3 linked regions of the Struthio camelus genome follow. The protein of the gene in region 2 interacts with the protein of the main gene of each other region in a pairwise test. Links are inferred from orthologs where the notes say so. Each region holds a gene or a part of one and is shown on either strand. Other genes may lie near its edges.

Region 1 (3,739 bases), on a different chromosome or scaffold from region 2:
GCTGGAGCCGGAGCCGGGGCTGGAGCCGGGGCTGGGGCTGGAGCCAGGGCTGGGGCTGGAGCCGGAGCCGGGGCTGGAGCTGGGGCTGGAGCCGGAGCTGGGGCTGGAGCCGGAGCTGGGGCTGGAGCCGGGGCCGGGGCTGGAGCCGGGGCCGGGGCTGGAGCCGGAGCTGGAGCCGGGGCTGGAGCCGGAGCTGGAGCCGGGGCTGGAGCCGGGGCTGGAGCCGGGGCTGGGGCTGGAGCCGGGGCCGGGGCTGGAGCCGGGGCCGGGGCTGGGGCCGGGGCCGGGGCTGGAGCCGGGGCTGGAGCCGGAGCTGGGGCTGGAGCCGGGGCCGGGGCTGGAGCCGGGGCCGGGGCTGGGGCCGGGGCCGGGGCTGGAGCCGGGGCTGGAGCCGGAGCTGGGGCTGGAGCCGGGGCTGGAGCCGGAGCTGGGGCCGGGGCTGGAGCCGGGGCCGGGGCTGGAGCCGGGGCCGGGGCTGGAGCCAGAGCTGGGGCTGGAGCCGGGGCCGGGGCTGGAGCCAGAGCTGGGGCTGGAGCCGGGGCCGGGGCTGGAGCCGGAGCCGGAGCTGGGGCTGGAGCCAGGGTTGGAGCCGGAGCTGGGGCTGGAGCCGGGGCTGGAGCCAGGGCTGGAGCCGGAGCTGGGGCTGGAGCCGGGGCCGGGGCTGGAGCCAGGGTTGGAGCCGGAGCTGGGGCTGGAGCCGGGGCCGGGGCTGGAGCCGGGGCTGGAGCCGGGGCGGGCGCGGGGCGGTGCCGGGGCGGACGCACCGCCGGGCCCGGCCCCTTTCCCCGCCTCGCCCGGCACAAAACGGCGGCGGGGGCGGCTCGGCCGCACACGCTCCCCGCGGGCCGGGCCGGGCCGGGCCGGGCCGAGCCGAGCCGGGCCGAGCCGGGCCGAGCCGAGCCGAGCCGAGCCGAGCCGAGCCGAGCCGGGCCGGGCCGGGCCGGGCCGGGCAGCAGCGGCGGCGGCGGCGGGGCCGGGCCGGGCGGGATGTAGCGATCAGCACCGCGGAGAGCGGCGGGGCCGGGCGGGCCGGGCCGGGGGGGCCGGGCCGGGGCCATGGCCAGCGCGGAGCAGGGCGAGAAGCAGCTCTTCGAGAAGTTCTGGCGAGGCACCTTCAAGGCCGTGGCCACGCCGCGGCCCGAGAGCATCATCGTGGCCAGCATCACGGCCCGCAAGCCGCTGCCCAGGTAAGGGGGACCCCTTACCCCCCCCCAGTGTTATCCCCTCCCCACACCGGCTGGGCGAGACTGCAGAGACCCCCCCCCGGCTCTTCACCTCCCCCTCCTTAGGGGCTGGGGGGCTTGGAGGGACCCCCTCGGCCTGGGGGATCTTGGATGCCCCCCGTTAGGGGCTGCACCCGCCGGGGGAGAGCCGCTCCGGAGGAGAGCGGGTTGGGGAACCCTGGCTTCGGCGGGTGCTTTGACCCCGAGAGCTGGTTGCCTCCGGGGGGAGCAGGATGAGGGTCCTGGAAATCTCGTGCTGGGCCCCTGAGGGCACCCGAGAAAGTGTGGGCACCCCCGGCCGGAGTCCAAGCGACCGTCCCCGCTGTGCAGGCCCCGAGGAGCGCGTGTCCTGCTGAGCATCTCGCCTCTGCATCCCCCCTTCGCCAGGCACCCACTGGGAGCCCTCAGGAAGGCGATGCCCGGGCAGGGTGCGACCTCCGCTGCCTGGGTGCAGGAGGCGATGCTGATGTCTCCCCTGGGGGCACGTGGCCCCGAGGCCACGGCTGCTCAGGTGCCAGCGGGCAGCGAGGGGACCGAGGCAGCCCTGGCTCTGATTCCCTCCAGGGCACCCGGCTAGCGGCCGACGCTTTGCTGCAGGCACGTCTCCCGCTGCTCTGCCCCTCTGGGAGGGCACGGCCTTCCCGTGCCCCCAGCTCGCCCCGCCGAGCGGTGCCCGCTGGGCACGGGGCTCTGCCGTGCAGCGCAACACCAGCTCAGCGCTGGCTGGTGCACAGGGCTGGTGCCCGTCCGCCCTGTCCCGGCCGGGCCCAGGGACCCGCTGGCCGATGCCACGGGCTTTGCCGGCAGTGGAGCGGGGGCACGAGCCGTGAAACGGGGTGCAGGGGCTGTTAGCCCCCGAGGGGCACGGCAGTGCTGCCAGGCGTGCAAGAATCCCTGTGGATTCTGCTGCTCCACAGTAGCTCCGCTCCGCTTCGGAGCGCTTTTATTGTCGGTGTCTTAATATTGGTTAAAAATACCCGCTTTGCACTGGTTTTCCAAGGAAATGAGGCTTTCGCGGGTTCCCTATTGTTGCTGTTGGCTGCTCCCCACCCAGTGTGGGGAGCGACCAAAAGTTTCACGAGCAGGATGGGTCGGTAGAGGAGAGCCGCTTGGTCTGCAGGGCGGTGGCGCAAGCTGAGCCTGCGTGCCGGCCGCGGCAACGCCGCCTCTCAGCCGCCGCTCTCGGCGGCCCAGCCGCCCCGGCGGGTTTTGTTAGGGACGAGCGCGAAATCGCCCGTCTCGCTGATTGTGATCAATCCGATTAGGAAATTGAAAAAGACACCGCTTAGCCTTCCAAACGGGAAGAGCAGATCTCATTTCCGCAGAGGGCATTCGGCACGGCTTCGGTCTTGGTGCGCGAGAGGAGCCACCGGTTTGTCTCTCCCCCCCTGCACCAGGTTACGTTATTCACATGTTGGCCCGCAGACCAGCCAAGAGCGCGCTGTGTGTCCGCGCACGCACGCACACGCTCTCTCCTGCCTGAATTGGCTTGAAAGAGCCGTGCTTTTTAAATGTCTCGCAATGAAAGATGAAATAAAACATCAAATTAGGCTGTCGGGGGGATCCAGTGAGCCCGCGCAGCAGGAAGGATGCCCGGCTCCTGCATGGCGATGAAGCAATTCCCATCGACGAGCATCATTCACAGCAAACGTTCGCGTGCGGTGGCTGCGAGCCCGTTTCCGGGCCGCCGGCTCGGCCGCGGGTCGATGCCTGGGCTAAGCGCAGGACGGGAGCGTTTTCAGGCTCCATTAAAAGTTCCCAAATGCAAATGGGCTCGTGTCTTCCGGAGCACTAAGCGCTCGGGCGGGAGGGGGACACCATCTGCGCAGCGGGGAGGAAGCGCTCAGCGGAGGGGGGGGACCGGCCCCGGCGCCTCCGGGCTGCTGCGTTTCACACCTTGGCGCTGGCAAACCCTCCCTGCTGGAGGGCCGGGCGAGGGGCCGTGCCCCGAGGGGCCGCGCCGCGGGCTCGCGAGCTCTCCGCCTCCATCCCCCCCGCGGCTTTTGTCTCCTCGCAGCATATGTCGCCGGAAAGCAAGGCCGCGCAGCGGGGCACGGGCTACGTGATATTCCCCGCGGGCCGGCCATCTGCACCGGCGCGCTCGCCGCAGGCGTTAGCGTCTCGCCGGCCCCGGCAGCCCCCTCACGCGGCCGCTTTCCCTCCGGCGCGGGGCAGGCGCGGCGGTGGTTAGAGGTTTGCTGCAGCCCCGCGGGTGGCAGACGGGGGTTTCCTGCCCGGGGACCAAAGCCGGAGGCTGGAGGAGGGCGAGCGAGGTCGTGCTTTCCCGAAACGCCGCTAGGCCCGCGGCGTGCTTCTGCTCGCCAGCCCGCGCGAGAGGGAGATCGGTCCCGAGGGCTGCGCCGCTCCTCTCGCGTCTCTCTTCCCGGCTCCGCTTTGGGGTCTGGTTTTTCTCCTGAAGGTTTCCCCAGGCTGCTCATCAGCGCGGCCTTTTTTTTTTTTTTTTTTTTCCCCCGAGACTATTCCTGGCTCATTTAAGAGCAAATTAAGCTGCTTGC
Region 2 (3,739 bases):
GGGGGGCCACTTTGGGCTGAACCACTGCGGAGCGAGGGGGGAGCCACTTTGGGCTGAACCACTGCGGGGCGAGGGGGGAAGCCACCATGGGTCTGACTCCGGCAGCCCGTCTTGTTCCTCAGGTCGGCGGCAGAGAGACCTCGCCGCGCTGCCTCGCGTGGTGATGGCGGCGCTGAGCAGGACGCTGGGGTGAGCGCCGGCCCCGCCTGGCCCTCCCTCGCCGCCGACCCCTCCGCCTCAACGACGGCGCCGAAGTCGAAACCCCCGTTTTTCGGCCTGAAACCCAGCCGGGGCCGGCGCCCCCGCTGCCGCCTGGGAGCCCCGTCAGCGGGAGGGTGGGAGCGGGCCCGCGGCGCGCCCCCCCCCCCCCCCCCCCCGCCATTTCTAACCCCCACACCGTGACTTGGCCTCGGCGCTGAGAGATTTTTGCCTCCGGCCGGCAGGTCGCTGGGGCAGCAGGTCGCCCGCGGCCGGCTGCCGCCGAGCTTCCGCCTGCTGCACGCCTCCTGCGGCCGCGGCGACTCCAACAGGACGTCGGTGGCCCGCGTCCGCCGGCAGGCGTACGGCCGGCTCTACCCCGTGCTGCTGGTGAAGACCGATGGCTCTACCGTCCGCGTCCGCTACAAGGAGCCCAAGAAGATCCTGACGGTGAGGCGGCGGCGGGCGGGCGGGAAGGGCCCCGGGAGGGAGCCCTGATCCTGATCCTCGCCGCGGCCGGTTTCTCTTCCCTCTGCAGTTGCCTCTGGACAGCAACGCGCTGCCCGAGGCCGAAAGGAAGGCCCGGCTGCGGCGACAGTTCCCCGCCCGGTTTAAGGCCCCGAAGGAGGAGGCGTTCGAAGACGTCAACCTGGACGAGTACAAGAAGTTTTGGAAGAGCTAAGGGCCGGCCGCTCGCGGACGCCGTTTGGAGCGCTCCCGCCGAGGCTCTAACATAACGTCCGGAAGAGAAAAATTTGGAAAATAATTCTTTTTCGGTGGAATTTCCGAGCGTTTCCTGTCTGGTTTTGTGCGGGGTGCAGGCAGGCTGCCCCTGTGTGGGGGAGGACGGACGTCGCCTGTAGGCCAGCCGGGGAGCCGACGTGGTGGTGGTGGTGGTTGAGGTGGGATCGGGACCCCCAGCCCTTGAGGCCGGCGCTGTTTGGGGGGAAACTCCCCGGTTTCGGTGGTCCCTTTGGTTCCCCCCACCCCCCCCCACCCCCGCGTGGCGGCGCGATGGTGCCGCCCGCCGCCTCTCAACCGTCCCACTCCCCCCCCCCCCGGCGGCGGGGCGCGGTGGTAGCGCCCGGGGCGGGGCGGGAGCGGCGCGCGCCGCTGGGGGCGGGGCGCGGGGTGGGGGAGGGGGAGGCGCAGCGCGGGGCGGCGCGGCCGGAGCGCGCGGGCGAGGTCTGCGGGGGGCCGGGGGGGGGGGGGGAGTTGCGCGGCCCCTGCGCCTTACACCGCCCATCCCCGTCCCCTCGGGGCGGTCCCCCCCCACCCCCCCACCCCCGCGGTGTGCAACACCTCCCTGCGCGGCCTCTGCACCCCCCCGGGCTGTGCAACCCGCCCCCTCCAGCCTCTGCACCCCCCCGGTTCGTGCAACCTCCCCCCCCCCCCGGGCTGTGCAACCCCCCCCGCCCCGCGGCCTCTGCACCCCCCCGGGCTGTGCAACCCGCCCCCTCCAGCCTCTGCACCCCCCCCGGTTCGTGCAACCTCCCCCCCCCACCCGGTTCGTGCAACCCCCCCCCCCGCGGCCTCTGCACCCCCCCGGGCTGTGCAACCCGCCCCCTCCAGCCTCTGCACCCCGCCCCGGTTTGTGCAACCCCCTTCCCCGGCCTCTGCACCCCCTCGGGATGTGCAACCCCCCCTCCCGACTTCTACACCCCCCCCCGGTTTGTGCAACCCCCCCACCCCGGCCTCTGCACCCCCCCGAGCTGTGCAACCCCCCTCCCCCCCCCCCGACACCATCCAGTCTTTGCAACTCTCCCCCCTTGGCCATGCACCCCCCTGCGCTGTCCAGACTTTGCAACACCCCCCCCCACTTTTGCAGCCCCCCTTCCCCACGCTTGCAGCCCCCAAGTCTTTGCATTCCCCCCGCGGCAGGGCTGGGGTGGCGGCAGCGCTGGTGCTGGTGGTGGTGGTGGGAATGACTTTTGCCGCGACGTTTCGCGCCCGCCCCGTCTCCCGCAGGCTCCGGCGGCACCATGTTCGGCTCGTCCCGCGGAGGGGTGCGCGGCGGGCAGGACCAGTTCAGCTGGGAGGACGTGAAGGTGGACAAGCAGCGCGAGAACTACCTAGGTAAGGATGGAGGAGCCACCACCTCTGGAGGAGCCACCTCTGGAGGAGGGAGCCACCACCTCCGGAGGAGGGAGCCACCTCCAGAGGAGCCACCACCTCTGGAGGAGCCACCACCTCTGGAGGAGGGAGCCACCTCTGGAGGAGCCACCACCTCTGGAGGAGGGAGCCACCTCTGGAGGAGCCACCTCTGGAGGAGGGAGCCACCACCTCTGGAGGAGCCACCTCTGGAGGAGGGAGCCACCTCTGGAGGGGGAGCCACCTCTGGAGGAGCCACCTCTGGAGGAGCCACCTCTGGAGGAGGGAGCCACCACCTCTGGAGGAGCCACCTCTGGAGGAGGGAGCCACCTCTGGAGGAGGGAGCCACCTCTGGAGGGGGAGCCACCTCTGGAGGAGCCACCTCTGGAGGAGCCACCTCTGGAGGAGGGAGCCACCTCTGGAGGAGGGAGCCACCACTTCTGGAGGAGGGAGCCACCACTTCTGGAGGAGGGAGCCACCTCTGGAGGAGCCACCACCTCTGGAGGAGCCACCATCTCCGGAGGAGCCACCTCCAGAAGAGCCACCACCTCCAGCACCCGTGACACCACCTTCTCGTACCCGCAGGCAACTCGCTGATGGCCCCGGTGGGCCGCTGGCAGAAGGGCAAAGACCTCACCTGGTACGCCAAGGGCAAGGCGGCGGCGGCGGCGAGCGGCGCGGCGCGCGAGGAGGAGCTGGCGGCCGTGCGCCTGGCCGAGCGCGAGGCCATGCTGGCGGCGCTGTGAGTGCAGAGAGGGGGGCGAGCGGTGGGGGACCCCCGGGCGAACCCTCCCCGCCTGCCCCTTCCTCCTCTTCTCTTCCCGCAGGGGTTACGGCACCGCGCGGCGGCAGCGGCCCGCCGGCCTCAGCAAGGAGGTGAGAACCGCGTCACCCCACCCCGCCGCCGCCCCGGGCCGAGCTCGGTTTTTCGGTGGGCGCCAGGCGGAGACGCCCTCCTTCACCGTCGTTTCTCGGGGGCGGTGGGCTTTGACGCCCGCAGGACCTGGCCGAGGTGTGCAAGCGCGGCGGCGGCGAGCGCAGCCGCCAGGACGTGGACCGGCTGGTGGGATTGGGCAGCTCCAGGTAACGTCCTGGGGTTCGACCTCCCGCGGTCCCTCCTTTCCCCGGCGGAAACGGGACGCCCGGCGGAGCCCGCCCGCGTTTGGCGGACGCCCTGACGCGGCGCTTGCCGTCCCCCGCAGCGGCTCCGCCGGCCGCCTGACGCTCTCCAAGGAAGACAGAGAAGCGGCCAAGATGGGGCTCTCGGTCTTCACGGTAGGTCTACGCTGCGGGAAACGCGAGGTTTTTTGGGGGGTTGGAAGCGAGTAACGCGCGTGTTGCGCTTCCCCTCCCCGGTTCCCTTCCCTTTTGCCCACGCTGCGACGCCGGGGGACGACTCCCCGCGCTCGCCCGGGGTTTTTCTTTCTCCGTAGCATCAAAAGGTCCCGAG
Region 3 (3,739 bases), on a different chromosome or scaffold from region 2:
AAGAGTTCACTCAGTACTCCAAGTGGCAATACCACGCGTGTCTGGCTCTGTCTTAATCTTCTCAAAGGTCTGTTTTATATCTTTAGAACGTGTAAGAGAAAGGGAGACAGAAAAGGGCAGTTGAGGCAAAGCGACAATGAACAGAGCTGGTTTTCTACAACTGAAAATAGGAGGATGCAATACATATACATTTTTCAGTGTATTCCAAGTTTTATGTCAACACTACATCCTCCCACTATAATTTAAAGTTTTATAAGCTCCTCCAGACAAACGTTCCGTAAAAGTGTTCTGTACTATTATGGGTCCACGAGATTTCAAAACAAAGTGTCACTCTGTGTTTTCTTGTTTTTATTTGTCCATTCTGAAGATTTTAGTGTAGGAAATCTAAAACTTTACGAGCAAAAGACATCTTTGTGGTATTAAAACATGTTTTTCTGGTATTAAAATATAAATGTTCTCAGATATAAGAAAACAAGTTAAAGTACAGTGAGCACATAGATATATGAGAATGCTTTATATCTGATAAAGTGGAAATTCCCCCCGCACAGAATTACAATAGTTGAAATTATCCACTGTGTAGATGTGTCATCCCATGAGTCATATCTCATATAATAGTACACATTAAAAAAAAAAAAAAGGAAGCTCAGGGCACATACATGCATCACAATTACTTAAGTACATGATTTATGTTTTTAAAACCGAAAGAGCTGTGTACACCCGACCCTCTGCTTTTGCAGACGGTCCATCTCTATGAATGACTGTTTCTTTGCCCCTACGAAAAACTGAAGTGCCCTGAAGAAAAAAAAAAAGAGCAAAACAAAGCTCTCTACTTCCCTGAACGACCCCTACCATCCCACCTACCGGGGCTATCAAACATGCCCGACTCCAAGCGAAAACTCCGTCCCAAACTTCGGGGGCGGCCAGGTATGGCAGCACGCACGGGCCTGGCCAGCACGGGCAGGCAGGAGGCACACCGCCCATCCGCCACTGCGCATGTGTGGGCAAGCGCAGCAGCTCACTTTGCGCGCTAGCGGGCGGCCGGGCTGCGCGGCGCGGTCACCTGTTGCGGGCAGCGGCGCGGGAGCCGTCGTCCCTCCGCGGCCGCCCGCCTGCCGCGTTTTTAAGTTTACTTGAGCAAAACGCCGCCGGGCTCAGGCGTTTTCGCCTAGTCCCGCCGGGCCTTGGTTTTTGCACGCTTTTTTTTTTTTTTTTGGGGGGGGGGGGGAGGAGCCGCCTCGGTCCCTGCCGCGGCTCCGCGCTCCCCTTCCGCGGGGGAAGAGGGCACCGCCGCCCCCTCCGCCGGCAGTGAAAGCCATGCGGTGGCTGGACGGCGTGTAGCGGGGCGGGCTGTGCCCTTTGATCCGGCCGCTTTCAGGAAGTGCCCTGCAGCTGTGGCCGTGTTGGGGCTTCCGTGCGCGGGGCTCTGCGCCCCGCGCAGCCACCGCCGCGCCCCCCGCCGCTCCACAAAAGGTGCTCGGCGCTGCGCGGCGCGCATCCCTCCGCACCCTCAGCAGCCACTCCCGCTCCGCTAGGAGGAGCGTTTGCGGTCTCCGGAGTGAAAATAATAATAGTAATAGTCCTAATAATAATAATAATAATAATAATAGGGAGGTTTCTGCTTTTGTGCCTGTGCCCCGGCGCGGGGCAGGCTGCGCGGCCGCCCGCAGCGCCGTCTGCCCTCGTCCCGCGCCGGGAGAGCCCCGCTCCCTGCGGGCTTCAGGAGAAGCTTGAAACGCTCGTGTTTCTCCACAAACTGTGTTGACAAGCGATTGCTGAAAAGGGCTGGGAAAATTACATCTCGTCTCTGGTGGGGTGAAATATGAAACATGTAATCTAACGGTTCCTGAAGAGGAGGAGAGGGGGGAGGAAGAGGGACTTCTCTCCCTCTCTCTGTTTCCCTGCTCCGGGTTCCTGGTTGGATAATTTGGGTTAATACTAGTGAGTGAGCCTTTTGCTGCTTCAAAGGGTATTTCAAGTTGCCGGAGCTCCTCCCCTCCGCACCGTGTGACAACAACAACTCGTCCAGAGAGCGAGCGAGCGGCGAGCGGCGGCGGCAGCCAGCACTTCCCAGCTCATTTTCTCTCTGTCATTCCCCTCTCAATCTTTGATCAATGTACTTGCCAGAGAGAACCGAAGTCCTTCAAACCTCCTCCTTTTCACCTTCGTCTTTAACGTGGTGCTAGAGCAAGGACCACAAAAAGAAACTGCCCTCCCCCTCCCCTCGGCCCCAGCCCCGCCGCCCGGAGCGGACTTCTCCTCCTCCTCCTCCTCCTCCTCCTCCGTCCCCACTTGCGGGACACTTTGTGCGTTTCTCTCTCTCACTCTGCCCCCTGCTCTCTCGCTCGCCGCAGCACCTGATCCGGGGTTATTCCCCCCTTCTTCTCCCCCCCTCCTCCCTTCTCCTCTCCTCTCCCCCCTTTTTTTTTTAATATATATTTCTTTTAATTTCCCCCCTTTCCCCTGCGTGTGTGTGTGGGAACTTTCCCCCCTCCCCCTGCCCCCCTCCGCCGTATATGTGACCATGGCCGTACCGGCTGCTTTGATCCCTCCGACCCAGCTGGTCCCCCCTCAGCCTCCGGTCTCAACTTCTGCCGCCTGCACCACCACCACCACCACCTCCTCCTCGTCGGCCACCTCCTCTCCGTCTCCGTCCATCGCTCCCCCGCCGGCCGCCTCGGGGACAAACCTATTCCGGCCGGAGCCCATCGCAGCGGCGGCGGCGGCGGCGGCGGCAGCGGCGGCAGCGGCGGCCACAGTCACCTCCACCACCAGCGGCAGCGGCAGCGGCGGCGGCAGCGGCGGCGGCGGCGGCGGCAGCCCCAGCCTGGGCACCGGCGGCGGCGGCGGCGGCGGCGGCAGCAGCGGCGGCGGCGGCGGCGGCAGCGGCACCTCCACTCCCAATGCCAGCGCGGCCAGCGCGGCCGGCAGCCTGCCGGGCAAGCCGGTGTACTCGACCCCGTCCCCGGTGGAGAACACCCCCCAGAATAACGAGTGCAAGATGGTGGATCTGAGGGGGGCCAAAGTGGCCTCCTTCACCGTGGAGGGCTGCGAGCTCATCTGCCTGCCCCAGGCTTTCGACCTCTTCCTGAAGCACTTGGTGGGGGGCTTGCACACGGTCTACACCAAGCTGAAGCGGCTGGAGATCACGCCCGTGGTGTGCAACGTGGAGCAGGTCCGCATCCTGAGGGGGCTGGGGGCCATCCAGCCCGGGGTCAACCGCTGCAAACTCATCTCCAGGAAGGATTTCGAGACCCTCTACAACGACTGCACCAACGCCAGGTAAGCGCCGCCAGCGCTCGCACGCCCCACGCGGGGCCCCGCCGCCCCCCTCCCCGCCGCCGCCGTCCCTCCCCGCGCCGCGCCGCTTCCCACGGCCGCCGAGCCGGCCCGGGCCGGGGGTGAGGGGCGCCCGGCCGGCTCCCCTGCGGCCACATGCGCTCGCCCCCTCCTCCCCTCCGTGCCTGGCACCCGACCAGCCTGCCGAGCAGCCGGCTGAGTTCCTCCTCGCTGGGACAGGGAGAGAAAGGAGAAAGGGTGTTTCTGCCCCGCTGGCCCCCTCCGCTCGTGCCGTGTGCCGTTGTCGCACTGTCATTGTGCCCTTCTGGCCGCGCTCGGCCGAGGGCTGCCGGGGGCCCGGGGCAGGGCGTGCGGGCCGGGGAGTGGAGGTGTGTGTGTGTGGGGAGGGGGAGCAGCAGGGACAGAAAGTGCTTTCTGACCTCCGCCGTCCTTAGCTTTACAC

What was found.
Region 1: the proteins of C2H1orf35 (region 2) and serine/arginine repetitive matrix protein 4 interact in binary tests that used the Homo sapiens proteins (3 or more experiments, as listed by UniProt). The link is inferred for Struthio camelus from reciprocal best matches to the Homo sapiens genes C1orf35 and SRRM4.
Region 3: the proteins of C2H1orf35 (region 2) and DACH1 interact in binary tests that used the Homo sapiens proteins (3 or more experiments, as listed by UniProt). The two-hybrid records come from large-scale screens. The link is inferred for Struthio camelus from reciprocal best matches to the Homo sapiens genes C1orf35 and DACH1.

What each region holds. Positions count from the first base shown.
Region 1 is NC_090958.1:7,357,723-7,361,461, forward strand, and holds the start of serine/arginine repetitive matrix protein 4, read left to right. Parts: upstream 1-1,029; 5' UTR 1,030-1,056; coding exon 1,057-1,187; intron 1,188-3,739. UniProt on the Homo sapiens protein: Splicing factor specifically required for neural cell differentiation.
Region 2 is NC_090943.1:3,605,021-3,608,759, reverse strand, and holds the start of C2H1orf35 (multiple myeloma tumor-associated protein 2), read left to right. Parts: upstream 1-959; 5' UTR 960-1,100; intron 1,101-1,317; exon of another isoform or gene 1,318-1,383; intron 1,384-2,008; exon of another isoform or gene 2,009-2,166; 5' UTR 2,167-2,180; coding exon 2,181-2,274; intron 2,275-2,874; coding exon 2,875-3,031; intron 3,032-3,116; coding exon 3,117-3,165; intron 3,166-3,289; coding exon 3,290-3,372; intron 3,373-3,491; coding exon 3,492-3,564; intron 3,565-3,722; coding exon 3,723-3,739. Other genes in the region: MRPL55 (large ribosomal subunit protein mL55), read left to right, coding at 164-189, 444-648, 737-880.
Region 3 is NC_090942.1:179,042,284-179,046,022, forward strand, and holds the start of DACH1 (dachshund homolog 1), read left to right. Parts: upstream 1-1,394; 5' UTR 1,395-2,521; coding exon 2,522-3,279; intron 3,280-3,739. UniProt on the Homo sapiens protein: Transcription factor that is involved in regulation of organogenesis. Seems to be a regulator of SIX1, SIX6 and probably SIX5.